Anolis sagrei: one gene and its partners. The protein of the gene in region 3 interacts with the protein of the main gene of each other region in a pairwise test. Links are inferred from orthologs where the notes say so. Each region holds a gene or a part of one and is shown on either strand. Other genes may lie near its edges. The genes, in order: RBPMS, UBC, DAZAP2 and SQSTM1.

Region 1 (7,457 bases), about 42 Mb from region 3:
CTCAGTAAGTTCAACCAGGTGCTAGGGTTACAATCTGGGTAGGTCTTAATGGTGTGATATTTCTTTCCTCCTGAAAACTATTAAGATAAGGTTACCAAGCTTAAACGTTTAAATAGAACTGGGGGTGGCAAAACAGTAATGAAAGAGGAAATCTTGTCATGGGAAAAAGATATGAGACTAGCGCTGAATCTACACTGTAGAATTAATGCAGTTTGATACCACTTTAAGTTTTCATGGCTCAATGCTATTGAATCCTGGAAAGTGTAGTTTGTGAGGCAGCAGTACTCTCCAGCATAGAAGGCTAAAGCTCCTTGTAGAACTACAGTTCCCAAGATTCCATACAATTGTACACTGGTAGTTAGAGTGGTGTTAAAGTGCATGAATTCTGCCAGATGCACCCCAGGAATGGTTTTAGGGATCTCTCTCCATATATAGCTTCTCCTCTGCAATAAACTCACTTGAATTTCCCAAAAGTTTAGACTGGGAAGGAAGTGACTGGTTTCGCATGGTCTTTCAAATTGAGGACATACATTTCCAGATAGAAGGCAGTCCCAACAGGGGTTGGCTTGACATGCCTTCCTTTTGACACGTTTCTTCCTTTCGCCCTCCATTCGTGCCCCTTCAAATTCCACAGCACTGTTAGTTACAGCTGACCTCCAGTTAGACGTTCAAGAGCCAAAGCTTCCCAGATTCAGTGTTTATACCAAATTTTAAAGGTCATCTTTAAGCCCATCTTCAAATCTCTTTTGCTATCTACCTGACATTCCGTTTACGTTCTGAAACTAAGAGTAAAGTAGCAGCCTTGAGAGACGGTGATCGGGGATTCAGACAATGTGGTCGGTCCAGCAAATTTGATGGCGAAGGATCATGGCTTCAATGCTGGTGGTCTTTGCTTCTTCCAGAATACTGATGTTTGTACATCCATCTTCCCAAGAGATTTGCAGGATTTTTTGGAGGCAAAGCTGAGGCAATATTCTAGAAGTCAAGAGTGATGTTTGCAGATAGCTTTCGGGAGGAGTTGAAACTCCCCCCTCCCACCCTGCCCACATGACTTTTCAGATCAGTATCAACTGATCTGGTAGATTTTAAAAAGGCTCTGAAATTACCATCATTATGCAAAGGTTCTTCATGGTTTTCTTCTTCTTCTTTTTCGTGTCAGGAGCGACCTGAGAAACTGCAAGTTGCTTCTGGTGTGAGAGAATTGGCCGTCTGTAAGGACATTGCCCAGGAGACGCCTGGATGTTCTGATGTTTTTATCATCCTTGTGGGAGGCTTCTGTCATGACCCCGCATGGGGAGCTGGAGCTGACGGAGGGAGCTCATGAGTGCTCTCCCCAGATTTGAACCTGCGACCTGTTGATCTTCAGTCCTGCCAGCACAAGGGTTTAACTCACTGCACCACTGGGGACTTCACAGGTAATAGGTCCTGAATCTTTCTCCCTCTTGTCGGTCACAAAGGACAATAGTTTCCAAAATTGGCAGAAGTTTTTTTCTGTTTTTTTTTTCTGCTTTCTTCTTATTTCCTTTGTCGTGATGACGGTTTACGTCAAGATATTTTACCGTGAATTAGCAAGACATTTTCAGCCAAGCACAAGTTTTTCTGATGGTACTCTTCAGTTTCCACAGTTTTTACCTGCAATCCAGGTCAAATCCTCCTCCCTGTCCCGTGCCTTAGGCTTTGCCTGCTGGCTACCACATTTTGGCAGCTTCCACTATGTCAGCTATTACTGCTATTGCAATGTAAATTGGTAGAAAGGCAGGCAATGATAGTGTGAATCATCTAAATTTGGTTGAGAGAGTGCTTGTAGCTCTGGAGGAACTCTAATTGTTGCTTCTCATAGGCTTGGCATGGGGATTTAGTTAACCAGTAAAAATTCATGAGCAAACCAGTGTTTTGTTTTATTTTTGATCTGACAAATTTCAGGGAGGGTGTTGAATCCCTAAACTGCCCCCTTGGCTACAAGCTTGGACGGTCCATGTATCGCATATAATTGAGTTGTAAAGACCATAGTCTCATATCAATATATATCAATATATATCTATATCTATCTATCAATCATTATCAATACACATAATAAAAGTGAAAATCTGTATGTATGAGGCTGGGGTGCCCACTTTCACAGACAGGCTCCCGCCTCCATCAACAGCTATAACCCCCACCTATGAAGCGAACACCAAAGACCCTCCCTCACTGACATTGCAGGTTATAGCGATTGCCATAAACATGTCCAAAGAGCCCTGCCAATGTCCTCCACAAACACCACACTGCCCACCACCCAAGTGAAGGCTTTAATTCAGGGACAATTTCATCCTAGATTTTCTGTTTTTCCTCCGCCAAACACACCTCTTGGGGTGTCTGGGAATGATTTACGCCCCCTGGATTATCCTTTCTCCCTCTCTGAAAATCATGTTCCACAAAACATTTCCATGCGTTCATATCTTTTCCCTCCGCTTCATGTTTTCCTAGGCTAAAAGTGCCTCAACTTTCTCTTCCCCTCTCTTCCCCCTGCCAAGGGGGCCCCCAGCATCCCCATTGCTCCTTATAACATAGACAGTCAAAATCCTGTCTTGCCCCTATAGCTAAGGCTCTCTCTCTCTCTCTCTCTTTCACTCTGCACAGTCCCTCAACAACCCTTTTCTTCTTTCCTGGTCCATCTCCCTCCCCTCCCCAAATGCATGTGTGTGAATCTTTTAATGGCCCCTCTAACTGCCTTTAAATATGAGAAGGGCACTGTAGGGTCCAGGGGACCTCCCGGCACAGCTGAAATGAACCAGAAGACCACCTGACAAGGGACATCAGATCAGACTGGATCCAGGATCCATAATCCACTCCTGCCACTGTGGACAGCTACCTGGGTGGTGAGTCTGCGGGAGCTCTGCGGGTTTTCTCATGTGGCAGCTGGAACTCAGATGGCACAGGAGGATCCCAGAAGGGCAGGACCAGACCTCCAGCCACCCAGAAGAGACAGCCCCCCCTTGAGGCTGGGGAAGGCCATCACAGGAGAGGCCCCAGGAAGAGAAAACAGGATCCTACAGTGACCGCCATGAAGGAAGGATGTCCTGCCTTTGCCAGAGCTGTGCAAAGGGATGGCCCCAGGACCCCTGGAGCCCTCACTAGGTATGAAAGCTTTCCCCTCTCTCCCTACTAACCATCATAAATCAGTTAAAAACAATTAAAAACAGTAGCATAATAAACAGTCAATATAAATAAATAAAACATCTCATTAGCATCTCATAATAAAAATCAAGATCCAGTCTCATCATTCATTTGTTCCATATTCCTATGTTCGTTACACTGCCTATTCAAATGCCTGCTCAAACAACCAGGTCTTCAGTTATTTCCCAGTTGTCAATCATTCTTGTTGCCATAATCTTGGTTTTTTTACGTTTAGCTGCAACCCAGCTTTTGCGCTTTCTTCTTTCACCTTGATTAGAAGGCTCCTCAGCTCCTCCTCGCTTTCAGCCATGAAAGAGGTATCATCTGCATATCTAAGGTTGTTAATGTTTCTTCCAGCAGTTTTAACCCCAGCCTTGCATTCGTCAAGCCCGCACATGGCATTTTTTTCTTTTTGTCGTGTCAGGAGCAGGTTGAGAAACTGCAAGTTGCTTCTGGTGTGAGAGAATTGGCCATCTGCAAGGACGTTGCCCAGGGGACGCCTGGATGATTTGATGTTTTTATCATCCTTGTGGGAGTCTTCTCTCATGTCCCCGTATGAGGAGCTGGAGCTGATAGAGGGAGCTCATCCGCCTCTCCCCGGATTTGAACCTGCGAACTGTCTGTCTTCAGTCCTGCCGGCACAGGGGTTTAACCCACTGCGCCACCGCACATGGCATGAATGAATGGGAATGGAGATGTTGTTGTTCATTCGTTCAGTCGTCTCCGACTCTTCGTGACCTCATGGACCAGCCCACGCCAGAGCTCCCTGTCCGCCATCACCACCCCCAGCTCCTTCAAGGTCAGTCCAGTCACTTCAAGGATGCCATCCATCCACCTTGCCCTTGGTCGGCCTCTCTTCCTTTTGCCTTCCACTTTCCCCAGCATCATTCCCTTCTCTAGGCTTTGCTGTTTCCTCATGATGTGGCCAAAGTACTTCAGCTTTGTCTCTAGTATCCTTCCCTCCAGTGAGCAGTCAGGCTTTATTTCTTGAAGTATGGACTGGTTGGATCTTCTCACAGTCCAAGGCACTCTCAGCACTTTCCTCCAGCACCACAGCTCAAAAGCATCGATCTTCCTTCGCTCAGCCTTCCCTAAGGTCCAGCTCTCACATCCGTAGGTTACTACAGGGAATACCATGGCTTTGACTAGGCGGATCTTTGTTGCCAGTCTGATGTCTCTACTCTTTACTATTTTATGGAGACTGGACATTGCTCTCCTCCCAAGAAGGAAGCGTCTTCTGGAGATCGTGCTGCTTTATTGTGTAGACGTGCAGACGCCTGTCAAGCTTGGCAGGGGCAAGAGAGGGTAGCCAGCAGGCCAAGGCAGTGGAAGCCTCGACGGTTGAGCTTTGGCGCCGCCTCCTCCCCTCACGTGCCGCGGCGGGGGGTCTCGCGCTTCCCTGCCCTCCTTTCTCGCGCCGTCGAGGGCGCCGCCTCTCCGCCAATCAGAGCCGGGCGCGCGCGGAGACAGGGTGGGGTGGGGGGCTGCGCGCGCCCTCCTCTCTCCTCTCTTCTTCCCCTCAGCTCATTCCTTCTTCGCCTCAGAGGGAGACGGAGGTCTTATCTCGCTGCCTTCGCCGCCCCGCTTCCTCCCCGGAGCAGCCCCTGTATGCGGCTGGAAGAGCTGCGGGCGGCCAGGGCGAGTGCCCCAGCCCAGGAGAAGGAGGAGAGGGAGAGGAGGAGACCATGAACAGCGCGAAAGGCGAGCAGGAGCCCACTCCGCCGGAGCCCAGCCTGACCGAGGAAGAGGTACCCTTCCTGTGGGGAAAGTTGGAGGGCGCTTTCGGGGGCGTCTCTGTGGCTCGCGCAGCTCGGGAGGAGAGCGATTGCGCAACGCCGCTCCCGAAAGTTAAGGCTGGAAGGGAAGAAGGAAGGAAGGGAAGGAAAGAGCCAGGCGCCTCTGTTGTTGTTTCCCTACAAGGAAGGCGATGGCAGGGAGGGAGGGAAACAACAACAGAGGCGCCTGGCTCTTTCCTTCCCTTCCTTCCTTCTTCCCTTCCAGCCTTAACTTTCGGGAAACTTTTGTTTCCCTCCCTCCCTGCCATCGCCTTCCTTGTAGGGAAACAACAACAAGAAGGACGCCCGGTAATCGATAACGCATCCAGCACATTCTTTCCCTATTAGAATCCGATTTAGATCCAGGGGAAAAGGGTGGGAATCCAAAGCACAGGCTTTGAAAAGGGTGCGCCTCTACACTGTAGCATGAATGCGTATTGACACCGCTTGATCTGCTTCGTCTTTTTCATGGCGAAGGGGAGTTTGTGAAACTTTTTGTCGCGTCGTCCGGCGCCCTTCCACACAGCCCTATATGTATCCCAGAATATCAAGGCAGGAAATGCCACAGTAGCTGCTTTGAACTGGGTTATCTGAGTCCACACTCAGATAATGTGGGATTTTCTGCCTTGATATTCTGGGATATCCCCCCCCCCCCGTCACCCTGTATATATTTCTGTGCTTTGATGGCTTCATAGCAGTCGAATAGTTGGGTTGCTGTGAGTTTTCCGGCCTGTATGGCCATGTTCCAGAAGCATTCTCTCCTGACGTTTCGCCCACATCCATGGCAGGCATCCTTAGAGGGTTGTGAGTTGAATAGTTTGTGAATTTGTATTTGCTGAGCCTGTGGAAACCGATGGAAGTTCAACACTCAGGACCCTTCCACACAGCCATGTAACCCAGAATATCAAGGCAGAAAATCCCACAAGATCTGCTTTCAGCTGGGTTATCAGAGGGCCCTTCCACACAGCCATATAACCCAGAATATCAAGGCAGAAAACCCCACAAAATCTACTTTGGAACTGGGTTATCAGAGGGCTCTTCCACACAGCCATATCAAGGCAGAACATCCCACAAAATCTACTTTGGAACTGGGTTATCTGAGGGCCCTTCCACACAGCCCTGTAACCCAGAATATCAAGGCAGAAAACTCTACGATATCTACTTTGAACTGCATTATCTCAGTCTGCACTCAGATATTGTGGGATTTTCTGCCTTGATATTCTGGGGTATAGGGCTGTGTGGAAGGGCCCTGAGTCCACACTGACATATAACCCAATTCAAAGCTGATAATGTGGGATTTTATTCAGCTGTATAGTAGGGGCCTTGGACCACCTCTACTTCCATATAACCCAGTTTCTGAATCCAGATTATCTACTTTGGAGTGGATTATATGGCAGTATTAACTCGTATATATAATTCAGTTCAAAGCAGATAATCTCAATTCAGAAACAGGATTATATGGTGGTTTAGAGTGAGCCAGTAGGATCTGATGCGGAAGGTAGTTTGGGAGTGAAGTCACCTTTTCCTATAGGACCACATTGGAGGGATCAAGAAAGATAGCTATGCCAGGCATGGGCACTCTTGGGCCCTCCAGGGGGTTTGGACTACGATTCCCACTATTTCTAACAGCCTCAGGCCCTTTCCTTTTCCCTCTCAGCTGCTTGAGCCCAAAACTCAGCATAGCCTGGGCATGGGCAGATTTGGGCCCTCCTTTCCCCCTCAACTTAAGTGGCTGGGGGAAAAAAAGGAGGGCCCAAATTTGCCCATGCCTGGGCTATGCTGAGTTTTGGGACTCATTTTGGAGTATAGTGAAAGCAGCAGGATAACAAATCAGTTAAGAGTTGGTGCCAAACTGTGCTATCTTACTGGCACAAATAGCACTTTTATGGAACAACAGGGAGAAAAACATTTCCTGATGCTCCAGATTTGTCTTGCCTGTATTTTGGGGGGGGGGGGGGGGGGATGGGACCCTGATATGTAAGATTTATTCATTCTCGTCCCTTTGGGTAAGAGTGTAACGCTGTATTTCTTCAATACTAAAAAGCACTTTCCCCCCTATATAAACAGATCTAAAAATGGGATGTGCCTTAGAATTACAGGATATACAATCTCCAAGTTAGAAACATCCGACTTATATACGACTCATAGTTACAATTGGGGTTGAGACAACAGGAAGTGGAGAAATCTATCCATACGAAGGGATATCCACTCTTGTCATGGGGAAAAGTTGTCTCCACTGAAGCTTTATCACCAAAAATAACAACCAGAACAACTTTATTCTTATATCCCGCTACCATCTCCCCAAAGGGACTTTGGGGAGATGGTACAGGAAGCACAAAGTGCCTAAAAACAAAACATAAAAGTGTGAGCACAATATAAAACACAGTAAAATAAAACACATGCACATATAAAAACATCAACTCAGACTCAGTCAAACTGCGGTCCTCTAACCATGGCAGTAAATTGCTGTAAACACGGCCAAGCTGTAAACATTAGGAATCAAATAAGTGCCAGCTGCAGTAATGG
Region 2 (7,622 bases), on a different chromosome or scaffold from region 3:
ACAATAGTCTGAGAATTGAACTATATTATTATTATTATTATTATTAAACTAAGAATAGTCTGAGCATTGAACTATATTATATTAGTATGATTATTATTAAACTAAGTAGAGAATAGTCTGAACAGTGGACTATATTATTCTTCTTCTTCTTACTATTCCTATTATAAAATTAAGATGACAATAGTCTGAGAATTGGACTATATTATTATTATGATTAGACTAAGAAGACAATAGTCTGGGCATTGGACTATATTATTATTATTATTATTAAGCTAAGGAGACTATAGTCTGAACATTGAACTATATTATTATTATTATTATTATTATTATTATTATATAACTAAGAAGCAAATAGCCTGAACATTGGACTATATTATTATTATTATTATTATTATTATTATTAAGCTAAGAAGATAATAGTCTGAGCATTGGACTCTATTATTATTATTATTATTAATTATTATTATATAAATAGACAATAGTCTGAGCATTGGACTCTATTATTATTATTATTATTAATTATTATTATATAAATAGACAATAGTCTGAGCATTGGACTATATTATTATTATTATTATTATTATTAATTATTATTATATAAATAGACAATAGTCTGAGCATTGGACTATATTATTATTATTATTATTATTATATAACTAAGAAGAAAATAGCCTGAACATTGGACTATATTATTATTATTATTATATTATTATTATTATTATTATTATTATTATTAAGCTAAGAAGATAATAGTCTGAGCATTGGACTATATTATTATTATTATATAAATAGACAATAGTCTGAGTATTGGACTATATTATTATCATCATTATACAAGTAGACAATAAATCTGAGAATTGGACTATATTATTATTAGGTCTCCCAAAGGGACAAAAGGGCAATGTATATACTACTGCTACTGCTACTACTACTACTAATAATAATAATAATAATAATAATAATAATTTTATTTCTTTCCCACCTCACTTCGTGGCTCGAGGCGAGTGACAACATAGCTAAAAACATCGTTATATAAATCGTTATATAAAGTGCACAGATATACATATATTAAAACATACAGAACAATTATTAAAATAGAGCAGACACAAGGCACGGGTTTAAAATTCATTATTAGAACTTTTGAATACAAATTTACCCTTTTTTTTTACAATGTTACAGAAGGCCAAGGGCTCCAGAAGGGAAATGGAGGGCAACATTGTAACCCAAAAGGAAATGGAGACAAAGGCAACATATGGCTTCTTTGTCTTCCTACAAAAAGTGAAACAAAGGGAAGGTGAAATCTTAACACAACCAATCTTCAGTTCTTGTGGGTTTTTTCGGGCTATATGGCCATGTTCTAGAGGCATTTCTCCTGACGTTTCGCCTGCATCTATGGCAAGCATCCTCAGAGGTCTTGCCATAGATGCAGGCGAAACGTCAGGAGAAATGCCTCTAGAACATGGCCATATAGCCCGAAAAAACCCACAAGAACTGAGTGATTCCGGCCATGAAAGCCTTCGACAATACACAACCAATCTTCTTTGGAAGCATTAAGACTATTCTATCCTTGTCCCTGACTGTAAGCAGAGTCCCCATCTGCCCTTCTGGGAAACTGAAATTCACCAACGCCATCAAAGCCAGTCATGCGATCGCAGGTTTTCTGCCAACGTTGCAATAATAACGTCAGCTGCTGTTTGCTTTTCCATTTGTTGCCCACAATCTGCAAGAGGAAAGAGAATACGTTGAATGCTCCAGAGCTAATAACTGAATGTTCTGGAATTTTCCCATTTAAACAGACAGGGATACGCTCTCAACCCACTGTGGAATATATAGTTTAATAAACAACAACAACAGCAATAATAATAATAATAATAATAGTAAAGTAACATTAGTAAAGTGATGTTTTTTTTGGATGCATGCAATGGCTCTAAAGCTACATTTCTCAAAGTGAATATACCACTTTCTTCTTTTAGTGGAGAGTCATAGATAATAATAATAATAATAATAATAATAATAATAATAATAATAATAATAATAATTTAGGAAGTGTCTGATGTGTGATCCAAGCATAGTGATCATGTTTGCTGTGTACTAATCTTGTTGTGTTTCTAATAATAACAACTGCTGCCCAGACTATTGTCTATTTAGTAATATAACAATATTAATATTAATATAGTTCCATGCTCTGAATATTGTCTACTTATACATTAATATTAATATAATTAAATGCTCAGAATATTGTCTACTTAGTTGTATAATAATAATAATAATGATAAATTGCTTAGAATACTGTTTATTTAGTTATATAATAATAATATAGGTCAATGCTCAGAATATTTTCTACTTAATTATATAATAATATATAATAATACTAAATAATTATATTATTATTATAATAATACTAATAATAATGTCCAATGCTCATACTATTGTTTATTTCTCTAACATTATATATACGGGTTAATATGTGGCCTATTTGGGAGGCCTTTTGTAACATTATAAATAAGGGTTAATACGTGGCCTTTTTGCCCCTTTGGGAGTCCTAGACCTTCTGCAGCCATCTATTATTATTATTATTATTATTATTATAGTAAATAAGTATTATTATTATTACTATTATTTCTCTCATGAATTTATTACTGGATTTATTTCATTATTATTATTGTTATTATTATTATCTTTTATTATTTATATTATATTATTATAGTAAGTAAGTATGATTATTATTTCCCTCCTGAATTTTATTATTATTATTATTTCCCTCCTGGATTTATTACTGGATTTATTTCATTATTATTATTATTATTATCATCATCATCTATTATTATTATTTATATTATATTATTATAGTAAGTAAATATTATTGTGGCGCAGTGGGTTAAAGCACTGAGCTGCTGAGCTTGTTGATCGAAAGGTCGCAGGTTCGATTCCGGGGAGCGGCGTGAGCTTCCGCTGTCAGCCCTAGCTTCTGCCAACCTAGCAGTTCGAAAACATGCAAATGTGAGTAGATAAATAGGTACCGCTCCAGCGGGAAGGTAAGGGCGCTCCATGCAGTCATGCCGGCCACATGACGTTGGAAGTGTCTATGGACAACGCTGGCTCTTCGGCTTAGAAATGGAGATAAGCACCACACCCCAGAGTCAGACATGACTGGACTTAATGTCAGGGGACTACCTTTACCTTTTTAAAAGTATTATTATTATTATTATTATTATTATTTCCCTCCTGAATTCATTATTATTATTACTACTATTATTTCCCTCCTGAATTTATTACTGGATTTATTTCATTATTATTATCTATTATTATTATTTATATTATATTATTATAGTAAGTATTATTATTATTTCCCTCCTGAATTCATTATTATTATTTCCATCCTGAATTTATGACTGGATTTATATTATTATTATTATTATTATTATTATTATTATTATTATAGTATTATTATTATTTCCCTCCTAAATTCATTATTATTATTATTATTATTATTATTATTATTTCCCTCCTGAATTTATTACTGGATTTATTTCATTATTGTTATTATTATTATCTATTATTATTTATACTATATTATTATAGTATTATTATTATTTCCCTCCTGAATTTATTATTATTATTACTGGATTTATTTCATTATTATTATTGTTATTATTATTATTATTATTATTAATATTATATTATTATAGTAAGTATTATTATTATTATTATTATTATTTCCCTCCTGAGTTTATTACTGGATTCATTTCATTATTATTGTTATTATTATTATCTATTATTATTATTTATATTATATTATTATATATTATATATTATTATTATTTCCCTCCTGAATTTATGACTGGATTTATTTCATTATCATTATTATTATTATCTATTATTATTTATATTATATTATATTATTATAGTAAGTATTATTATTATTTCCCTCCTGAATTTATTATTATTATTATTACTATTATTTCCCTCCTGAATTTATGACTGGATTTATTCAAAATCCTGAGGGAACTGTTTTTCCCGCCAAAATTTCCCCCCTGAAATTGTTTTCCCCCCTCACCCCACTCTTTCTTCCTCTTTCTGCGCATGTGCAGAACCATCCCTATTTCTCCCTCCTAATCTGTTCTGCCTTAGCAACAGGGTGACGTCAAAGCGGACCAATCAGCGGGCGGATTCCACCCTCCCCCTCCTCCCTCACCCCTCCCTTTCGTCCGCTCGTATTCCATCTTGCTCCTTCCAGAGCTTTCCAGTCCTTGAGCCTTTCACGCTCCAGCCAATCAGAGCGCACATAGTTCCTTTCCCGACCAATCGTGAACCGAGCAGCTCCGTAAGTCCCGCCTCTTCTTTCTCTCTCGCTTTGGTCGAATGAAGCATTCGTTTCAAGTATCCTTCCGCGCTTTGTTTCAATATTCCCCTTTTTAAAAACACAACGAGTCATAAGGAACCGTCAACGATCCTTGTAATGTCTAAGGGGAAATAAACACTCCTGTGGAGATATAATAGCGCGTTTCAGCGTTTCGAATTGAGGGACTCTTTTGTTCCCTTCTGGCGGAAGGTTATCGGCGTGACGTAAAAAGGGGCGTGGCTTAGACTATAAATACGCGGGCGCCGTTGGCGGGTGACATTAGACGGGCGGGCTTCGGAGGTGCATTGACTCATTTGTGTGAGGAACGAGAACACGATCGAGTTCGGCCTACAATTTTTGGAGGGGGAGACGCTTCAAGGAGTGGTAAGGAATCCGAATGAGGGAAGGGGAGGATTTGACTCAAATTGACTATGCAAATTTATGCAAATTTCGATATTGGAGTAAGGCCTCCATGGCGACGGCGGGCGCTTATTGTGCTGTTCGCCCTCAAGGAAAAGCGTCATGGCGGCCCATTATGGCGGCGGAGAGGCCTTTGGTGACGAGGCCGGCCTGGCCTTGCCTTTCCCGCGGGGATGGGGCGGCCTTGGCACGGAGCGGGGCGAGCGGGACGGTGAGGCCGCCACAGCTTAGGCCTTGGCCCGCCTCTCGAAGTAATCATGGCCGCCGGGAAGGAGGAGGCTCTGGACGTCGCTTGAGGCGCCAGAGAAGGACAAGATGGCGGCCAGGGGGGAGGGGGAGGAGGGAAGGGGCGGGGCTTCACGTGTGACGTCACAGGCCTACCCATTCGAGGCTTTCCAGGCAGCCCCCTAGCGGCCATTTCTAATAGACTCTCGGGGCATTTGATTGACAAGCCCTGGGCAAACTTAGGCCTTCCCTCTGGACTTCAACTCCCAGCATTCCTAACAGCTCCAGGCCCCTTCCCTTCCCCCCTCATTTACTTAAACTGAAGTCCAAAAACATCTGAAGGGCCCAAGTTTACCCGTAAGTGGCTGAGGGGGGAAAAGGAAGAGGCCTGAGGCTGTTAAGAATGCTGGGAGTTGAAATCCAAAACACCTAGAGGACCCAAGTTTGCCCATGCCTGCCCTAAACAGGCCCTCAAATTCCTTCACTTAGTAAATGAAGGAATTTGAGGGCCTGTTTAGGGCAGGCACGATTTTGGACTTCAACTCCCAGCATTCCTAACAGCCTTAGTTAAACTGAAGTCCAAAAACATCTGAAGGACCCAAGTTTGCTCGTAAGTGGCTGAGGGGGAAAAGGAAGAGGCCTGAGGCTGTTAGGAATGCTGGGAGTTGAAGTCGAAAATATGCCTGCCCTTGCTATAGAGCAGTGGTTCTCAACCTGTGGGCCCCCAGGTGTTTTTGGCTTTGAACTCCCAGAAATCCTAACAGCTGGTAAACTGGCTGGGATTTCTGGGAGTTGTAGGCCAAAAACACCTCGTGATCCAGGGTTGAGAACCACTGCTATAGAGGTTGATGCCACTGTAACTGCCATGGAGTTGAAGTCCAAAACACTAGAGGACCCAAGTTTGCCCGTGCCTGCCCTAAACAGGTCCTCAAATTCCTTCACTTACTATAGAGCAGGTTCTTAGCCTGTGGGTCCCCAGGTGTTTTTGGCCTTCAACTCCCAGAAATCCTAACAGCTGGTAAACTGGCTGGGATTTCTTGGCCAAAACACCTGGGGACCCACAGGTTGAGAACCAATCAACAATGTACATCGTAATAATAATAATATAGTCCAATGCTCAGAATACTGTGTATTTAGATGTAATCATAATACAGTCCAATGCTCGGAATATTGTCTACTTAGTTATATCATAATAATAACGATATAGTTCAATGCTCAGTACATTGTCTACTTAGTTATATTATAATTATATAGTCCAATGCTCAGAATATTTTCTACTTAGTTATATAATAATACAATGCTCCATGCAGTCATGCTGGCCACATGACCTTGGAGGTGTCTACGGACAATGCTGGCTCTTCGGGTTAGAAACAGTGATGAGCACCAACCCTCATAGTCGGATAGGACTGGATTTAATGTCGGGAAAACCAATCAACAACAACCTATATAGTAATAATATAGTTCAATGCTCAGATTATTGTCTACTTAGTTATACAAATTCCTTCACTTACTGTAGTCTCTCTCCCCCCAAATGGTGTGTGTGTGTATATATATATATATCCCTCCAACCTTATTTAAGCTCCTGCACTTTAGTTTGGCCCTCATTCCTGTAACCTCGACACTAATGGCATTGCACTTTCCCTCTGCTCTACTTAGGAACCATTGCACTGACTTTGAGCCCACCCACTTCCAAACCCAGCATTGATTTTTGTTCAGCCATGATATTGCTTTTATGATATTGCTCTGTGATTGTGATATGTTTTTATTTGATTGCTGTTTGTTGATTTTATTTTAATGTGCCTGTTTTAATCTATAATTTTTGTCCCTTTGTAAGGTGCCCCGAGTCCCCTTGGGGAGATAGAGACAGGGTATAAAAATAATGTTATTATTTCTATATTCTATACAGATTTTAACAGCTTAACTGTTTGTTGTGTTGTTTATGAGGCCTCACTTGAGTTGTATGTTACATCTTTTAGCCAAGGTTGTTCAACTGTTTTTTTTCTCAAATGTTTGCTTGAATTGTTTTGATTTGTTAATAGGGGGCGTAGCATTAAATGTTTGCCATCTTTTGTTTTTTGCTGCCCTGAGTATTTGGGGGGAGAGGGCAGATTAAAAATAAAGATTATTATTTATTACGAAACTTCCATATCGCCTTTCTCGGTTTATGACAACAGCCTAGTCAAGTTGACTTTATTTCTGTTTATATTGAAACATTTATATTCCGCCCTTCTCACCCTGCAGGTGACTCTGTGTAGAGCACAACATATATATAGCAAATATTCAATGCTAGGACATAAAACTATTTTTATACCCTGCCTGAGGAGGACTTGGGATGGCTTACATGGGGACCAAGCCTGGGCAACACAGTTAAAATGTAACACATTAAAATACAAAACAATATAACAAAATAAAACAACATTAAGTAATGTATAAAAGGCATTGGAACCAACAATCAGTAAACAATTCTATTTATCATTAGAGAAGGTACCATTTCTAAACAGTTTTAAGTGTTGCCTGTCTCTGAGCCGAGTGGAGAGGAGTGTTTTGCTACTTGATCTTGGGAGTCTATCTGGCTTGTATGGAAAGTGTCTCAAGTATCCAGGTTAAAACCAGCACCTTAAATTGGGTCCAGAAA
Region 3 (8,015 bases):
CAACAAGAGGAAAAAAAAGGCAGCCAGGGGCAGCAGCGATCACCACTCCCTCTTTCCGCTATGATAACATCCAAGAGGGTAGGCTTTAAAATAACTAACATAACCTAAAGCCGATGCCAAAATAACTAACAAAGCATTAGTTCAATGCTAATGAGCAGAGCTCTTTGACTGGTGTAAGTTTAACAGCCTCAAGGCTTAATTAAACTTAAAATATATTTGCAGGGTCTCTGTTCTTTCCATTGATCTCTTATGCATGAATTTGGACGCTCGCTTGTTTCTTTTCCAAAGCACAGCTCCTCAGCAGAGAAATGTAATGCCTGAGAGGCTAATGATAGTTCCCCAACTCATTTTTATCTCCCAAGAGAACTGTTGTTCGTCTCGGTGAAACCAAAATTAAATGGCCATTTCCTTAATGTTGTCAGAGAAGGGGATTGGCTCCATTACATGGACCAGCGGGTATTAAGCAGTATATGGAAATGTAGTCCTAGAGTGCATTTAGACTGTAGTCTGATAGCACTCAAACTGCTATGACTCAATGGTATGAAATCCTAGGAGTTGTAATTTAGTGAGACACCAGTATTATTTGGCAGGCAGGACTAAAAATCCTTTAAAACTGCTACACCTATAGCACTGAGTCATAGCAGTAAAAGTGAGGTAAACTGCATTCATTCTACAATGTAGATGCTGCCTTTAAAAGAACTTTTGGCCCATGGCCACATTTAGCTGATGGATAACTACTGGTTGATATTCTACAGACCAACATGGAGTTGGATCTGGGAAATCAACCCCATATCAGACATGTAGCTCTTGGGCAGATCACCTCTGCTTCATAGGGTTGCTAGAAGGATGAAACACAGCACAGAGATCTAAGAATTCAATATCAAGAATTTGAAAAAGTCAGTTTGATAACCCTTACCAGATGCTTCATAGGTGGCACAAGGAGAGTCAATATATAATCAAACACTCGTTTCATTTAAAGCCTTGAATTAGGAATAGTGGTTCCTTAGCACCCTATGCAGCTTATCCTTTCAGATTTTTGTGTCTGTCCAATTCTCCAATATTTCAACTTCAGAATGTGGAGTTGTGATTGCTCTATAGTACTGTGTCTTAAATTATCAGTTTCAACCCCAAATGGCTCAACACAAAAATATAACAAGAGAAAAAGGTTTCTGAACACCACCCGTTTACATAAATCTCTTCGCAACAATATGCAGTGTTTACAGTTGACTCTGCAGAAAATGCTTCTGCTGTATCCATAAAAAGGAAAATCAGCCTGTTTAGCAAGCCTTACAAATGCTGATTTGCTATCAGTAAATGTTCGATATTTATATCTGTTATGTTTTATCTACCTATATACCCACAGTCACACAAAAAGTGGTCACAAGTTATAATGAGAGTTGTAGTTTAATGAGGCACCTGCATTCTTTGGCAGATCAGTCCAAACATCATATAAAACCATGACTCCCACAATTCCACAGCATTGGGATATGGCAGTTAATGTGGTATTGAACTACCTTAATTCTAAAGTTTAGATGCACCCTAGGATAAATATGTAGGATCACACCAAAAGAAAAATTTTGAAAAACACATTTTGTAAACCACATTTTACAGTTGCCATTTCCGTTGTATGCTTTGCATTTTAGACTGCATCATTTGGGTTGTATGCGTGTTTGTTCCTACTCCTATTTACATAAAATACATAAATATGTAAAACTACAAACCTATGCAAAATAGGTGTTGACTCCACTGTTATTACTGCATCAAAGTGAGCCCAGACAGCACACCTGGCTGGAAACACTTTCCTAGAAGAAAAACAGCCAAAATGAAACATTCCTTTCATCAAACCAACAAAACGAAAGGTAATAGCATCACACTGTTCAATAGAAGAGTAAGTAAAAGAGATAAAAAAGAAAAAGAAAAAAAAAGGGGGGGGGGGGAATCAAAGCATTACAGTATTGGCATTATTTGTTTTTACCAACAGTTTAAATATTTCTTTCTCAAATCAAAATTTCTGTCTTGACTTTTCTTAAGACTATAAGAATAGGAATCATAGATTAAAACATAGTGTGTGTGGGGGGGGGGGGGGGGGGGAGTTGTACTGTACAATGTGAAGTCCTCATGACATATTGTCATTCTGTTGGGAGAACCATCCAAGATAGATCCACCCTCTGATGCCAAAGGTGCATCTACACTGTAAAAATTGATGCAGTTTGACACTACTTCAACTGCCATGTCTCAGTGCTGAATATCAAGCAAAAAGTGGGTGCTAGAAATAATATCATACGAAAGCTGACTGGCACAACCTGGGGATCACCACCAGACACAGTGGTAGAAGAAGATAAACACGCACTGGCAGATAAACTATGCTGCTGAGTACGCATGCCCAGTGTGGAACACATCTCACCATGCAAAAACAGTGGATGTGGCTCTTAATGAGACATGCCACATTATCACAGGATATCTACACCCCACACCACTGGATAAATTATACTGTTTAGCCAGTATTGCACCACTTGACATCCGCCGAGAAGTAGCAGCCAATAATGAAAGGACCAAGGCAGTGACATATTCGACCCATGCTCTGTTTGGATATCACACAGCACACCAATGCTTTAAATCAAGAAATGTTTTCTAAGATCTACAGAGATACTCACAGGAACACCTCAGCAAGTGAGAGTCCAAAAGTGGCAGGCTAAAACCTGAAACCTCAACTCATTGCTGATACCAAATGGGAGACTCCCCCCCCCCCCCCGGGCACACAGAAAAATGGGTGACTTGGAAAGCACTGAACAGACTGCGCTCTGGCACCACGAGATGCAGAGCCAACCTTAAGAAATGGGGCCACACAGTGGAGCCCATGACATGCAAGTGTGGAGAAGAGCAAACCACAGACCACTGATCACAATGCAGCCTGAGCCCTGCCACATGCTCAATAGAGGACCTCCTTATAGCAACACCAGAGGCATTCCAGAGGCATTCCAAGTGGCCAGCTCCTGGTCAAAGGACATTTAATATTTGCCAAGTTTTAAAACTTTGTGTGTGTGTTTTTTAAAATACATTACAGTTGTACCCTTGGTTTGCTTCTGATATGATAAATAAATAGTGCTATTGAATCTTGGGAGTTGTAGTTTTACAATGTCATTGGCACTCTCTGCCAAAGAATGCCGGTGTAATGGTAAAAAAATGCAAGGATAACACCGAGTCTTCTAAAGTGGAAAAAAAACCACAGGATTTTATTTATAGCTTAAAAGAAAACAGCAGCAAACAGTGCTAAAAACAATGCGATATAGGATTTAACACTTTAAAAAGACATTTTACAACCCATTCCAAAGCGTATTTACTCGAGGCCAATGGATTTTGCAGTGGGTCTTATGATGTAATTTGATGAAGCACACTCTTCAGCAGAGAAGGCTGCAAGTGTTATAGAAGTGGGTTGTTGTAGGTTTTTTCGGGCTATAGGGCCATGTTCTAGAGGCATTTTTCCCTGACATTTCGCCTGCATCTATGGCAAGCATCCTCAGAGGTAGTGAGGTCTATTGGAACTAGGAAAGTGGGTTTATATATCTGTGGAAAGACCCGGTGGGGCAAAGAACTCTTGTCTGTTGGAGCTAGGTGTGAATGTTTCAACTGACCATCTTGATTAGCATTTGATGGCCTGGCAGTGGCTGGGGAAATCTTTTGTTGAGAGGTGATTAGGTGTGCCTGATTGTTTCCCATCTGTCATAGAAGTCTCCAAAATAGCAGAGTATTTAACAATGCAAAACGGGATACTTAACTGAGCAGTTAGCTCACAGCAATCAGAAGGTGCAGTGTTGTGGCTGTAAAAGAATTCTTGAGCTATGGAGGCAAAGATGCAAAGTTCAGTCCCTAAACTTGGGCCCTCCTGGTGTTTTGGACTTCAACTCCTACAATTCCTAAAAGCCTCAGGACCTCCCCCCCCCCCCCCCTTATCTGCTTAATTTGAGGCTGTTTGGAATTGTGGGAGTTTAAGTCCAAAATACCAGGAGGGCCCAAGTTTGCCCAGGCCTGGCCTAGCCTAATGCTATCTAGTTGCTTCTCATTGCCGATCCATCTCAGAGCCCAATTCAAAGTGCTGGTCTTGACCTATAAAGCTCTATACGGTTCTGGCCCAGTTTACTTGTCCGAACGCATCCACCCCTACGTCCCACCTCGTAATCCGAACGCATCCACCCCTATGTCCCACCTCGTGATCTAAGATCATCCGGGGAGGCCCTGCTCTCGCTCCCGTCACCAGTGCAAATGCGTCTGGCAGGGATGAGAGACAGGGCCTTCTCGGCTGTGGCCCCCCACCTATGGAACACACTCCCAAATGAGGTAAGATCCGCTCCCTCCCTCCTGGCTTTTAGAAAAAAAAATTAAAATCATGGTTTTGGGACCAGGCCTTCGGGCAGCAGAAGTAAATGTATGCAGCATTTCAGGAAGACAATGACTGGAATGGCGATTTGACGAACAAGACTGTTTATTGTTTTAATGATTGTTTTATTGCTTATGGATGTATGGTTTTAATTTGATTTATGTTTTGTAGTGTATAATTGTAATTGTTTGTACTGGCATTGAATTTTGCCATTACTTATGTGTAAATCGCTTTGAGTCCCCCTCGGGGTGAGAAAGGCGGTATACAAATACTGTAAACAAACAAACAAACAAATAAATAAATTGAGGACTGCAGACTTGAGCAGTGTGTGGTTGAATTCAAACAGAAAGACCTTGTAAAATTATAACTCCCACGCTCCCATGGTAGTTCAAAGTGGCACCAAGGTGCATTCATTCTGCAAGGTTGGGACGTCGGCCAAGCCATGGCAATTGGGAATGAGGGCTTGCACAAGAGTGGCGGCCTCCCACCCAAGCGAGAGCCAGCGCCGACCCTGCTTAGCTTTCGAGGCGCCTGTGCGTCCCTCAGCGCCGGAGGCCACGCCCCCTACCTGACCACGCCCCCTGACCCTGCCGGCCACTCTCGGCGTCCCATTCCCCTCAGCGGCGTCGCGGCGTGACGTCAGACGTCTCGACGTAACCCCTCTCCTCAGGGCTGCAGCGACAACAACAAGGAAGTGATTGAGCGAGGAGAGCCGTCCCTGCCGCCGCCGCCGAAAGCAGGAGTTGCCGGAACCGTCGCCGTGCCAGCCCGCCTTTTCCCTCCGCGCCTTTCTCGACGCCGCCACCATGAACAGCAAAGGTAAGCCAGGCAGGCCCCTTGCCCTTCCAACCCCACCCAGTCCCCGCTCACCTTTCGCAAGGGCGCTGTCCCTTTAAGGCTGGCGCCGCAGTCCCGTTATCTGCGGGCCTTGGACGTAACGGGCGGGAGCCCTGGCCAATGAGAGGCCTCGGGAAGCCGGGGTGAGGGGGTGGGGGGAAGGGCGGGTGTTCGGTTGCTATGACGCAACGCCTCTGCTCAGGACAGTTAACCCTTCCAGTGTGAGGGCCTTCCTGGCCTCGCTTCCTGGGGATCCCGAGGCACCGTCACGACTCAGGGGGTTGACTGAAGGCAGAGCGGATGCCTGCCCTCATTCTACAATTCAAGTCCGCCTGAAAGCTTTGGATGTGGATGAAGGGAGGAGGACTGAGGTTGGGGCCTTGAAAAGGGAAGAGGAGGATCCCGAAACTGCCTCTGTTCCCACCAAATGTAGATGGAGCTCAGTAGGGGCTTGTATTTCAGAGGAAGGAACGGGCAAAATCACCTCTTTAGTATCCCTTGCCTCAGGAAACACTATGACATAAACAGGGATTGCCATAAGACAGTGGTTTTCAACCTGGGGTCCCCAGATGTTTTTGGCCTACAACTCCCAGAAATCCTAACAGCTGGTAAACTAGCTGGGATTTCTGGGAGTTGTGGGCCAAAAACATCTGGGGACCCCAGGTTGAAAACCACTGCCATAAGACAACAGGCAAGGCGCTTGAAGGCACACAAACGCATAGGAAATAAAGCAAAACATAATAGCCTGCAAGGCCTCAGCCATAGGAAAAATGGAGAATGGGGGTTATGATCACAAAACTATCCTGTCCAGACTTATATCAGAAAATCCCAAATCTGTAATGATTTAGGCCAGTGGTTCTCAACCTGTGGGTCCCCAGATGCTTTGGCCTTCAGGTCCCAGAAATTGCAACAGCTGGTAAACTGGCTGGGATTTCCCCAAGTGTTGTGGCCTACAACTCTCAGAAACCCCAGCCAGTTTACCAGCTGTTAGGATTTCTGGGAGCTGAAGGCGAAAACACCTGGGGACCCACAGGTTGAGAACTCTTGATTTAGGCTCCTTCTACACTGCCGTCTGTTATCCAGATTATCTGCTTTGGACTGGATTATATGGCAGTGTAGACTCATATAGTCCAGTTCAAGGCAGATAATATGTATTCTCTGATTTAAGAATCTGGATTATATGGCAGTGTAGAAGGACCCTTACTCTACCAAGCAATCCCCTATCCCAGCGTTTCTCAACCTGGGGGTCGGGACCCTGGGGGGGGTTGTCAGAGGGGTCACCGAAGACCATCAGAAAACACAGTATTTTCTGTTGATCATGGGGGTTCTGTGTGGGAAGTTTGGCCCATTTCTATCGTCTGTGGGGTTCAGAATGCTTTTTGATTGTAGGTGAACAATAAATCCCAGCAAGCACAACTCCTAAATGTCAAGGTCTATTTTCCCTAAATCCACCAGTGTTCACATTTGGGCATATTGAGTATTCATGCCAAGTTTGGTCCAGATCCATTATTGTTTGAGTCAATAGTGCTATCTGGATGTTGGTGAACTACAACTCAAGGTCCATGCCCACCAAACCCTTCCAGTATTTTCTGTTGGTCATGGGAGTTCTGTGTACCAAGTTTGGTTCAATTCAATCATTGGTGGAGTTCAGAATGCTCTTTGATTGTAGCTCAACTAAAATTCCCAGAAACTACAACTCCCAAATGACAAAATCAGTCCCTGCCCCTCAAGCCCACCATTATTCAAATTTGGGTGTATCGGGTATTTGTGCCAAATTTGGTGCAGTGAATGTAGATATATCCTGCATATTAGATGTTTATGTGACGATTCATAACAGTAGCAAAATGACAGTTATGAAGTAGCAACGAAAATAATTTTATGGTTGGGGGTCACCACCACATGAGGAACTGTATTAAGGGGTCGTGGCATTAGGAAGGTTGAGAACCACCTACCTATTGTAATTTTGACTCATAGTTAAGAAACATATGAAGCAACAGGAAGTGAGAGAAATTTACCCCCAGGAAGGGAAATTCACTACAGGGGGAAAAGGTGTCCCCACTAAAGTTTTATCGCTGATCCTTGTTTCCACCACAACCCTATATTTTCAAAATCCAATTGACAGGGGTAGAAAATTAGGTGAAATCTTCCAAACAAGGGCACAGACAGCAAAACAAATCTTTCAGGAGTGTTAACCTTTATGCAAACCAAAACATATATATGCATGTATTTCTTTAAGTGGCTGGAGTTACAGTTTAAAAATGCACCTGTTCCTACTTAAAGACTAATTCAACTTACAAACTTACAGAACCTATATTGTCTGCAACTTGGGGACTGCCTGAATGTGATTCTAACCTATATGACATCACAAATCCAAAGAGATGGAACCTATGTGATAATGGGTGTTGTAGACTATATCCTGCCACTGAATGCCTAAACCAGGGGTCCTCAAACTTTTTAAACAGAGGGCCAGGTCACAGTCCCTCAAACTGTTGGAGGGACGGATTATAATTTGAAAAAAAATATGAATAAATTCCTATGCACACTGCACATATCTTATTTGTAGTGCAAAAACCACTTAAAAATACAATAATTAAAATGAAGAACAGTTTTAACACATATAAATTTATTAGTATTTCAATGGGAAGTGAGGCCCTGCTTTTGGCTGATGTGATAGGGATGTTGTTGTGTGCTTTCAAGTTGTTACAGACTTAGGTTGACCCTGAGTGAGGGCCAGGTAAATGACCTTGGAGGGCCGCATCTGGCCACCGGGCCTTAGTTTGAGGTTCCCTGGCCTAAACAATCA
Region 4 (7,727 bases), about 110 Mb from region 3:
TTCTTATGCCACCTGAGGGCAAATCAAGAAAGGAGGGCAAATCAAAAATGGTGAACTTGGAAGTCCCTGAATGGACTTAGAAGTGGAGTGGGCAGATCAAAAGACAACCTGGCAAAATGGAACTACCTAAAAGATTCTTCCACCTTGTGCGACTGTGGAGCAGACCAAACAATTCTGCATTTATATGCTTGTCCACAATGCCCTGCCTCACGCACAGAGGAAGAATTGTTTAAAGCTACAGACAATACGGTCGTTACTGCCCAGTTTTGATCAAAAATTATGTAGTCACTTGTGCTCCTTCTATTTTTATCAGTTTTAAACTTATGTATGCAATGCTTTTGGTGTTAAATAAATAAATACTGGAATTCTAAGAGCTCGCATGGTATTGTGATTTCAATGTTGGAAGACTAAAGACCTCGTAAAACTGCAAAACCCAGGATTCCAAACTGGCTCAGCACTGCATAGAATGACTATAGACTGCACATCACCCAAAGTGCCAGTAATGTCCCTGTATTGCTAAGGAATAAAAGAAAAGAAGAAGGCCATCAGCATGAAATAGAAACCTGGCCTCCTCATTATCAGCTTTCAGTTTCCCCAAGGGTTCAGGCAGCATCTTTTGTGAGCTACATCTCTTTCAAACCATCTTGAGATGCAGGCCAACTGTATCTGAGCAACGCACAGTCTGCAAAATGTCATAGCTAATGTCAGTAATGTTTTCACTGCCATCTGGTTCGGTTTTAGAAGAGCATGTCCAGAAGAACACACAGATTAGATTCAGCTAACAAAGACTTACAATACATGAAAACAAAAGGAATCTCCATTAAGGCAACATATAAATGTCTCTTCCTACAATATGTTGTTGTTTTATTTTTGCAAACAGGTCTAAAAAAACCCCCTTAGTATCAACATCAAATGTCAGCTGCTAGAGGGGGTCCAAAAGACAAATCATTCCCAGGTGTGCCCGATCTTATTTCTAAAAATATAATACTGCCATTTGGAACAGTAAGCAAATGTGCATTAATCCACTCATTTGCAACTCCTGCTCTATGGCTCGCTAAAGATGATGGCTTGCTCTATTTGTTCCTGTTACATCTACGCATGTTTTCTTAGAAGCAGAACTCACTGAACTGAAAGAATGGTTGTGTAATCATTTATAATTACTTAATATCTTTGAATTGAATATTTATTTTCAGCCTATTTCAATTTCAGAGTAGAATGCAATGTAAAATTATCAGCACCTCTTACCAAAACTTTGAAAGAATGAATACATTGGGGATCATATAGTATAGTGCTTCTCAACCTGTGGGTTCCCGGGTGTTTTGGCCTAAAACTCCCAGAAATCCCAGCCAATTTACCAGCTATTGGGATTTCTGGGAGTTGAAGGCCAAAAACATCTGGGGACCCACAGGTTGAGAATCACTGATATGTACATATACTGTACAATGTACATATAGAAGATCAGTGATCTGAATTTTTCCACCTTTGTACATAGGTTGGCCTGTGTGAGCTTCTATTGATGATATGAGGACATCCAACAGAATCACCTATTCATCATTTTAATTTAATACCTTCCTAACAATCTTTCCTCCCATTAAATTCCTTTATTTATGTAGTTGTTAACTGGGTGTGTGTATACACACACACAAATACATATATCGAATATATGTGTATAAATATCATATGTATATACACAGAAATGAACCTGGTTGCTTCTAACAAAGCGTACTTCCTTATCAGGGGGCATGGACTGTAACTTCATACAGGCAGCCCCCAAGTTACAGACAGGATACGTTCTGTAGGTTTGTTCTTAAGTTGAATTTCTATGGAACAGCTAAATGGTGTTTGTTTTGCTGTCTGTGCCCCTGTTCTGAGTTTACCACACTTTCTGTCACTGTGATAATTGGCTTTCAAAACCTCCGGTATGCTGTGGAAACAAGGATTGGTGAGAAAGCTTCTGTGGATACCAATTTTCCCCCTGATAACTCTTTCGGGAGTGAATTTCCTTCCTGACGGGCAGATTCCTCTCACTTCCTATTGTCTCACCTCCATTCTTAACTATGAGTTGTTTGAAATTTAGATGTTTGTGACTTGGGGGCTGCCTGCAACGGTCATCCTGAGCCACCATAATGAAGTGATTTGAGGGTTGGAGTATGACTCTGGGCTCCTTCTCAACTGGGTTCGTTCCCCTTTGGCAGGCTTCAGCAGATAATATAACAAACAGCAAACTTATCGTTTTGGAGTTCAGAAACCTCTGGAAAGAGAATGGACAAAGTTCATGTGTTCGAAAGGGAACTCTATCCAGGTAACAGGACAGCAGGTAACTAATGATCTTCTATGAGCCAGTGTGTGTAATGGTTTTGAAATTTGACTAGGAGTCCCCAGTGGGGCAATGGGTTGAATCCTTATGCCAGCAGAACTGCGGACCAAAAGGTTGGCGGTTTGAATCTGGGCAGTGGAGTGAGCTCCCATCTGTTAGCTCCAGCTTTCCATGCAGGGACATGAAAGAAGCCTCCCACATTTGGGCTGGGGAGCAGAGTGAGCTCCTGCCTGTCAGATCCAGCTTCCAATGTGGTGACATAAGAGCCCTTCCACAGGATGGTAACACATCCGGGTATTCCCTGGGCAACGTTCTTGCAGATGGCCAATTCTCTCACACCATAAGCAACTTGAAGTTTCTCAAGTTGCCCCTGAGATGGAAAAAAATATCATTGGACTGATTCTGGAAACAAGGGTTTGTATCCATACTCAGACATGTAAATAATATTACTTCTGGGAAACATCAGTGGGGCAGCAGGTTAAACTGCTGAGCTGCTAAACTTGCTGATTGAAAGGTTGGTGGTTCGAATCCAGGGAGCTGGGCCCAGTTTCTGCCAACCTAGCAGTTCGAAAACATGCAAATGTGAGTAGATCAATAGATAAGGGAAGTTAATGGCACTCCATGCAGTCATGCTGGCCACAGACCTTGGAGGCGTCTAGGGATAATACTGGCTCTTCTACTTAGAAATGGAGATGAGCTGTAACCTCCAGAAGCAGACATGATTCAACTTAATGTCAAGGGAAAGCTTTACCTTTACCTTATGTGTATATACAGTAGTCTATACATCCCATGTAGACTACTGCAATGCTCTCTACGTGGGGTTGCCTTTGAAGATGGTCTGGAAGCTTCAACTAGCCCAACAAACAGCAGCCAGGTTGCTAACAGGAAAGGCGCTCAGGAAGCATGCAACCCTCTTGTTGCGCCAGCTCCACTAGCTGCCGGTTTGCTACCAGGCCCAACTCAAAGTGCTGGCTTTGGCCTATAAAGCCCTAAACGGTTCTGGCTCAACTTACCTGTCCGAACGTGTCTCCCCTTACGAATCATTGGGGACTCTAAGATCGTCTGGGGACTCTAAGATTGCTCTCGGTCCCGCCTTCGTCTATAGTACATTTGGCGGGGATGAGAGACAGGGCCTTCTCAGTGGTGGCCCCTTGGCTATGGAACACCCTCCCTATGGAGATTAGATCTGCTTCCTCCCTCTTAACGTTTCAGAGGCAAGTTAAAACATGGCTGTTCGAGCAAGAGTTTACAAATGCAGAGTAGCTAATATAGGAAAGATTTGACAATGGAACTGGACAATGCTTGATAATAATGAGACGCTAATGATTTTTATTGCTTTTGTGGTTATTTATATTGTTTAATGTTTTTATCTGTATTATGTTTTTATATGTACTGATTTGTTGGAAACCTCCTTGAGTCGCCGATTGGCTGAGAAGGGTGGTATACAAATACAATACATAAATAAATAAATAAATAAATATGGTGTATACAAAACATAAACGAATCCTGGTCTCAAAACATCCTGGTCTCCATCTGGTTCCTATGTAAACACTTGCACAGTGAAACTGTTTTCATCAATACTGGTTTGAAACAGCACTAAATGGTCAGTGTTGATGTGTCCTGATGCAGTTTGGGGCCAGTTTTGCCCACCTGGGTGTGATTCAGGAGGGGCTGGTGAGTCCTGGGACCCTTCTGCCCTTCTGGGCCCGACACCTGAAGGGAAAGGTGGGGCCAGGCAGGGCAGCCAGGTGCCTTTTGAGGCCTACCTACCTTTTCACTGGAAGCAAGGCGCAGTGAGTCAGCAATTGGACAAAAAGAGGCGGCGCCTGCCTCGGGAGGCTCCAGGGAGGCGGCAGGGCAAAGTTCGCCCTTGTTTCCCCCGCAGGGCTTGGAGAACTAGAAGGTGCTGAGTAACGCTGACAAGGGGGCTTTCAACCCCCTTTCCCAAGCCCAGGCCACGCGTTTCTATGTTTCCACCTCCTTCCTTGTTGTTGATACATTGTCATTCTTCATTTTCGGCATGGGCCAACTTGGGCCTTCCTCCAGGTGTTTTGGACTTCAACTCCCACAATTCCTAACAGCCGGTAGGCTGTTAGGAATTGTGGGAGTTGAAGTCCAAAACACCTGGAGGAAGGCCCAAGCTGGCCCATGCCTGGTGTAGAAGGGGCTCTGCCTCCTCCCTCCCTTTTGCAAACAAAAACAAACCAAACTCTCTTTCTGGAAACTGCCAGGCTCTTCAGTGGCGTGATGTCTCTCCACTTGGCCTTGCGTCACCCTCCCTCCCTCCCTCTCTCTCTCCCTCCTTCCCTGCCTGTTCCTTGGCCCGTCCTCCCCAGGCAGGGGCTTTCCCAGCCTCCGCCCGCCCCTCCGCTGCCCGCCTATAAGAGGAGCCGCGGGGCGGGCGGCAAGGCGCAGAGGCAGTCCCCGCTGGAGCCCAGGGCAGAGAGAAAGCCGGTCCGGAGGAATTCCTGCTGCGCCATGGCCCCGCTGACGGTGAAGGCCTACCTGTTAGGCAAGGAAGAGGTGACCCGCGAGATCCGCCGCTTCGCCCTCGACAGGCCGCCCCGCTTCCAGCCCATCCGCGACAAGGTGGCCGAGCTCTTCCAAGGCCTGCTCCGAAATGCCAGCCCCGGACCCGCCGGCGCCTTCCAGATGTACTACAAGGGTGAGTCAAGGAATGTGGGAGCCCCCAGGGGACATCCAGCCCCGACCCGCCACAATCGAAACATTCCCGACAGATGGCCACCCGGCCTCAGATTAGAAGGCCCCCAGGGAAGGAGGTGCTCTCCCTGGCATCCCATTGTCAAGGGATGCTCAACCGGCCCCATCCTGGCACCATCAAAACACTCCCGACAGATGGCCATCCAGCCTCTGAATAGAAGGCCCCCAGGGAAGGAGGTGCTCTCCCTGGCATCCTGTTGTCAAGGGATGCTCAACCGGCCCCATCCTGGCACCATCAAAACACTCCCGACAGATGGCCATCCAGCCTCTGAATAGAAGGCCCCCTCTGAATAGAAGGGAAGGAGGTGCTCTCCCTGGCATCCTGTTGTCAAGGGATGCTCAACCGGCCCCATCCTGGCACCATCAAAACACTCCCGACAGATGGCCATCCAGCCTCTGAATAGAAGGCCCCCAGGGAAGGAGGTGCTCTCCCTGGCATCCTGTTGTCAAGGGATGCTCAACTAGCCTTACTAAATACAACAAGGGGCTGCCAACCCTAGAATCGAGCCATAGAAGGGACCTCTAATCTGACCCCATCCCGCCACAATTGAAGCACTTCCGACAGATGGCCATGCAGCCTCTGAATAGAAGGCCCCCAGGGAAGGAAGTGCTCTCCCTGGCATCCCATTGTCAAGGGATGTTCGACCGGCCCCATCCCGGCACAATCAAAACATTCCTGACAGATGGCCATCCAGCCTCAGATTAGAAGGCCCCCAGGGAAGGAGATGCTCTCCCTGGGATCTCATTGTCAAGGGATGCTCATCCGGCCCCATCCTGACACAATGGAAACATTCCCGACAGATGGCCATCTAGCCTCTGATTAGAAGGTGCTCTCCCTGGCATCCTGTTGTCAAGGGATGCTCAACTGGCCCCACTAAATACAGCAAGGGACTGCCAACCCTAGAATTGAGCCATAGAAGGGACCCCTAATCCCACACAAAGAAGTTGGCAACCCCATCCCACCACAATCAAAGCACTCCTGACAGATGGCCATCATGCCTCTGATTAGAAGGCTCCCAAGGAAGGAGATGATCTGGCATCCCATTGTTATGGGATTCACAACCAGTCCCACTAAATAAATATAGCAAGGGACTGCCAACCCTAGAATCGAGCCATAGAGATGGAAGGGATCCCAATGGCCACCCAGTCCATTCAGTAACACCCAACCAAAGCACTCCCAACAGATGGCCACTTAGGCCCCTTCTGCACTGTCCTTATATCCCAGGATCCGATCCCAGGTTGTCTGCTTGGAGTCTACACTGCCATATAATCTGGGATGTATAAAAGGATATAAAATCTCCAGGGAAAGGGATGCCTTCCCTGGCAGCGCACTCCATTGTTAAACAGCTCATACCATTAGGAAGCTATTCCTAATTTTTAAGTGGGATCTTTTCCCTGCAATTTGAATCCATTGCTCTGTGTACTAATCCCCCCCCCCCACCTTGCTGTGACATTCTTTCCAAGGTCTAAGCCACTCCATGTTCCCTCTCAGCCTTCTTTTCTCCAAGGTAAACATTGCTCCACCTCACCAGCTGGGCTTTTGCTTTGTGAAGTGGCAGATCAAGGTCCAGGAAGAAGGCGGCGGCAGCTAGAAATTATTGCTTTTCCTGCCAGATATGGTTTTGGGAGGGGGTGGGTTGAATGTCCAGAAGCACTGTGTAACTCGTGGCTAAGGGCCCTTCCAGACTGACCCTATATTCCAGGATCTGATTTCAGGTTTTCTGTTTATCCCAGATTATCTGGCAGTGTGGACTCCTATAATCCAGTTTAAAGCAGAAAACCTGGGATCGGATCCTGGGATACAGGGCCTGTCTGAAAGGACCCTACTTGGCCCCTAAGTACCCTAGATTTTGTCTGACCTTGGAAGCTAAGCAGGTTCAGGACTGGTTAGTTCTTGGATGGGGGGCTGCCAACCAATACATGCTGTAGATTATATTCCAGAGGAATTGGCCAAACTAGATTACTCTTCATGTAAGAAAGCCAGTGTAGTGTAGTACTCTGAGTATTGGACTAGGACTCTGGAGAATAGTCTCTCTCTGAACAAACCGTGCCAAGAAAACCCCATGATAGATTTGCTTTAGGGCCGCCACCTGCGACTTGGAGGCTCACCACAACAAGAAGAAATCCCAGAGATACTCACGGGATCACCATAAGTCAATGTGCTACAGGCACGCAGCAAGCAGTGGCAACTCATCTGGTATTAGGCTTTAGTGACAAGGTTATATGGTGGGAAGCATTCTCTTACTGAGTGTTTGTGTCGAGAAGCAGTTAAAAATCCAGTGCCTTTGCACACAAAGAAGTTGGCAACCCCAGCTGGATATTCTGTACTAATGTGGAACAGGTGTCACAGCCTAGTTTAATACTAATTTAAAACAGTGGTCAGTCTCTTGAACTAAAGGCCCAGATCTGCTTGGAAATGGCAGTCTGCCACCTAAAAGCTTGCCAGTGGAGACTGGCTCTAGCAGTTGGTTTAGAAAGGTCTTCTGCTCATGTTCAGAGGTAATACTTGCACAGGTTACAACTTACAGGGTTATGAAGTGGCATTAAAAACAATTACGGGCCATGGCCTGTTCCGCTTCCTAACAATGTGTGCATAACCCACATCGTGCCTCTCCTTGTAAATGCGATCCTGCAGCGAATAACAGAAATGTGTGGGGTGGACCTAGTTGCTGGAGGCCTTGTCACCTTA

Evidence for each region.
Region 1: the proteins of DAZAP2 (region 3) and RBPMS interact in binary tests that used the Homo sapiens proteins (3 or more experiments, as listed by UniProt). The two-hybrid records come from large-scale screens. The link is inferred for Anolis sagrei from reciprocal best matches to the Homo sapiens genes DAZAP2 and RBPMS.
Region 2: the proteins of DAZAP2 (region 3) and UBC interact in binary tests that used the Homo sapiens proteins (3 or more experiments, as listed by UniProt). The two-hybrid records come from large-scale screens. The link is inferred for Anolis sagrei from reciprocal best matches to the Homo sapiens genes DAZAP2 and UBC.
Region 4: the proteins of DAZAP2 (region 3) and SQSTM1 interact in binary tests that used the Homo sapiens proteins (3 or more experiments, as listed by UniProt). The link is inferred for Anolis sagrei from reciprocal best matches to the Homo sapiens genes DAZAP2 and SQSTM1.

Annotation. Positions count from the first base shown.
Region 1 is NC_090022.1:150,009,294-150,016,750, forward strand, and holds the start of RBPMS (RNA-binding protein with multiple splicing), read left to right. Parts: upstream 1-4,437; 5' UTR 4,438-4,841; coding exon 4,842-4,904; intron 4,905-7,457.
Region 2 is NC_090031.1:29,395,902-29,403,523, forward strand, and holds the start of UBC (polyubiquitin-C), read left to right. Parts: upstream 1-4,602; 5' UTR 4,603-4,726; intron 4,727-7,622.
Region 3 is NC_090022.1:192,268,754-192,276,768, forward strand, and holds the start of DAZAP2 (DAZ-associated protein 2), read left to right. Parts: upstream 1-4,998; 5' UTR 4,999-5,181; coding exon 5,182-5,194; intron 5,195-8,015. UniProt on the Homo sapiens protein: In unstressed cells, promotes SIAH1-mediated polyubiquitination and degradation of the serine/threonine-protein kinase HIPK2, probably by acting as a loading factor that potentiates complex formation between HIPK2 and ubiquitin ligase SIAH1.
Region 4 is NC_090022.1:86,649,210-86,656,936, reverse strand, and holds the start of SQSTM1 (sequestosome-1), read left to right. Parts: upstream 1-4,708; 5' UTR 4,709-4,795; coding exon 4,796-4,982; intron 4,983-7,727. UniProt on the Homo sapiens protein: Molecular adapter required for selective macroautophagy (aggrephagy) by acting as a bridge between polyubiquitinated proteins and autophagosomes.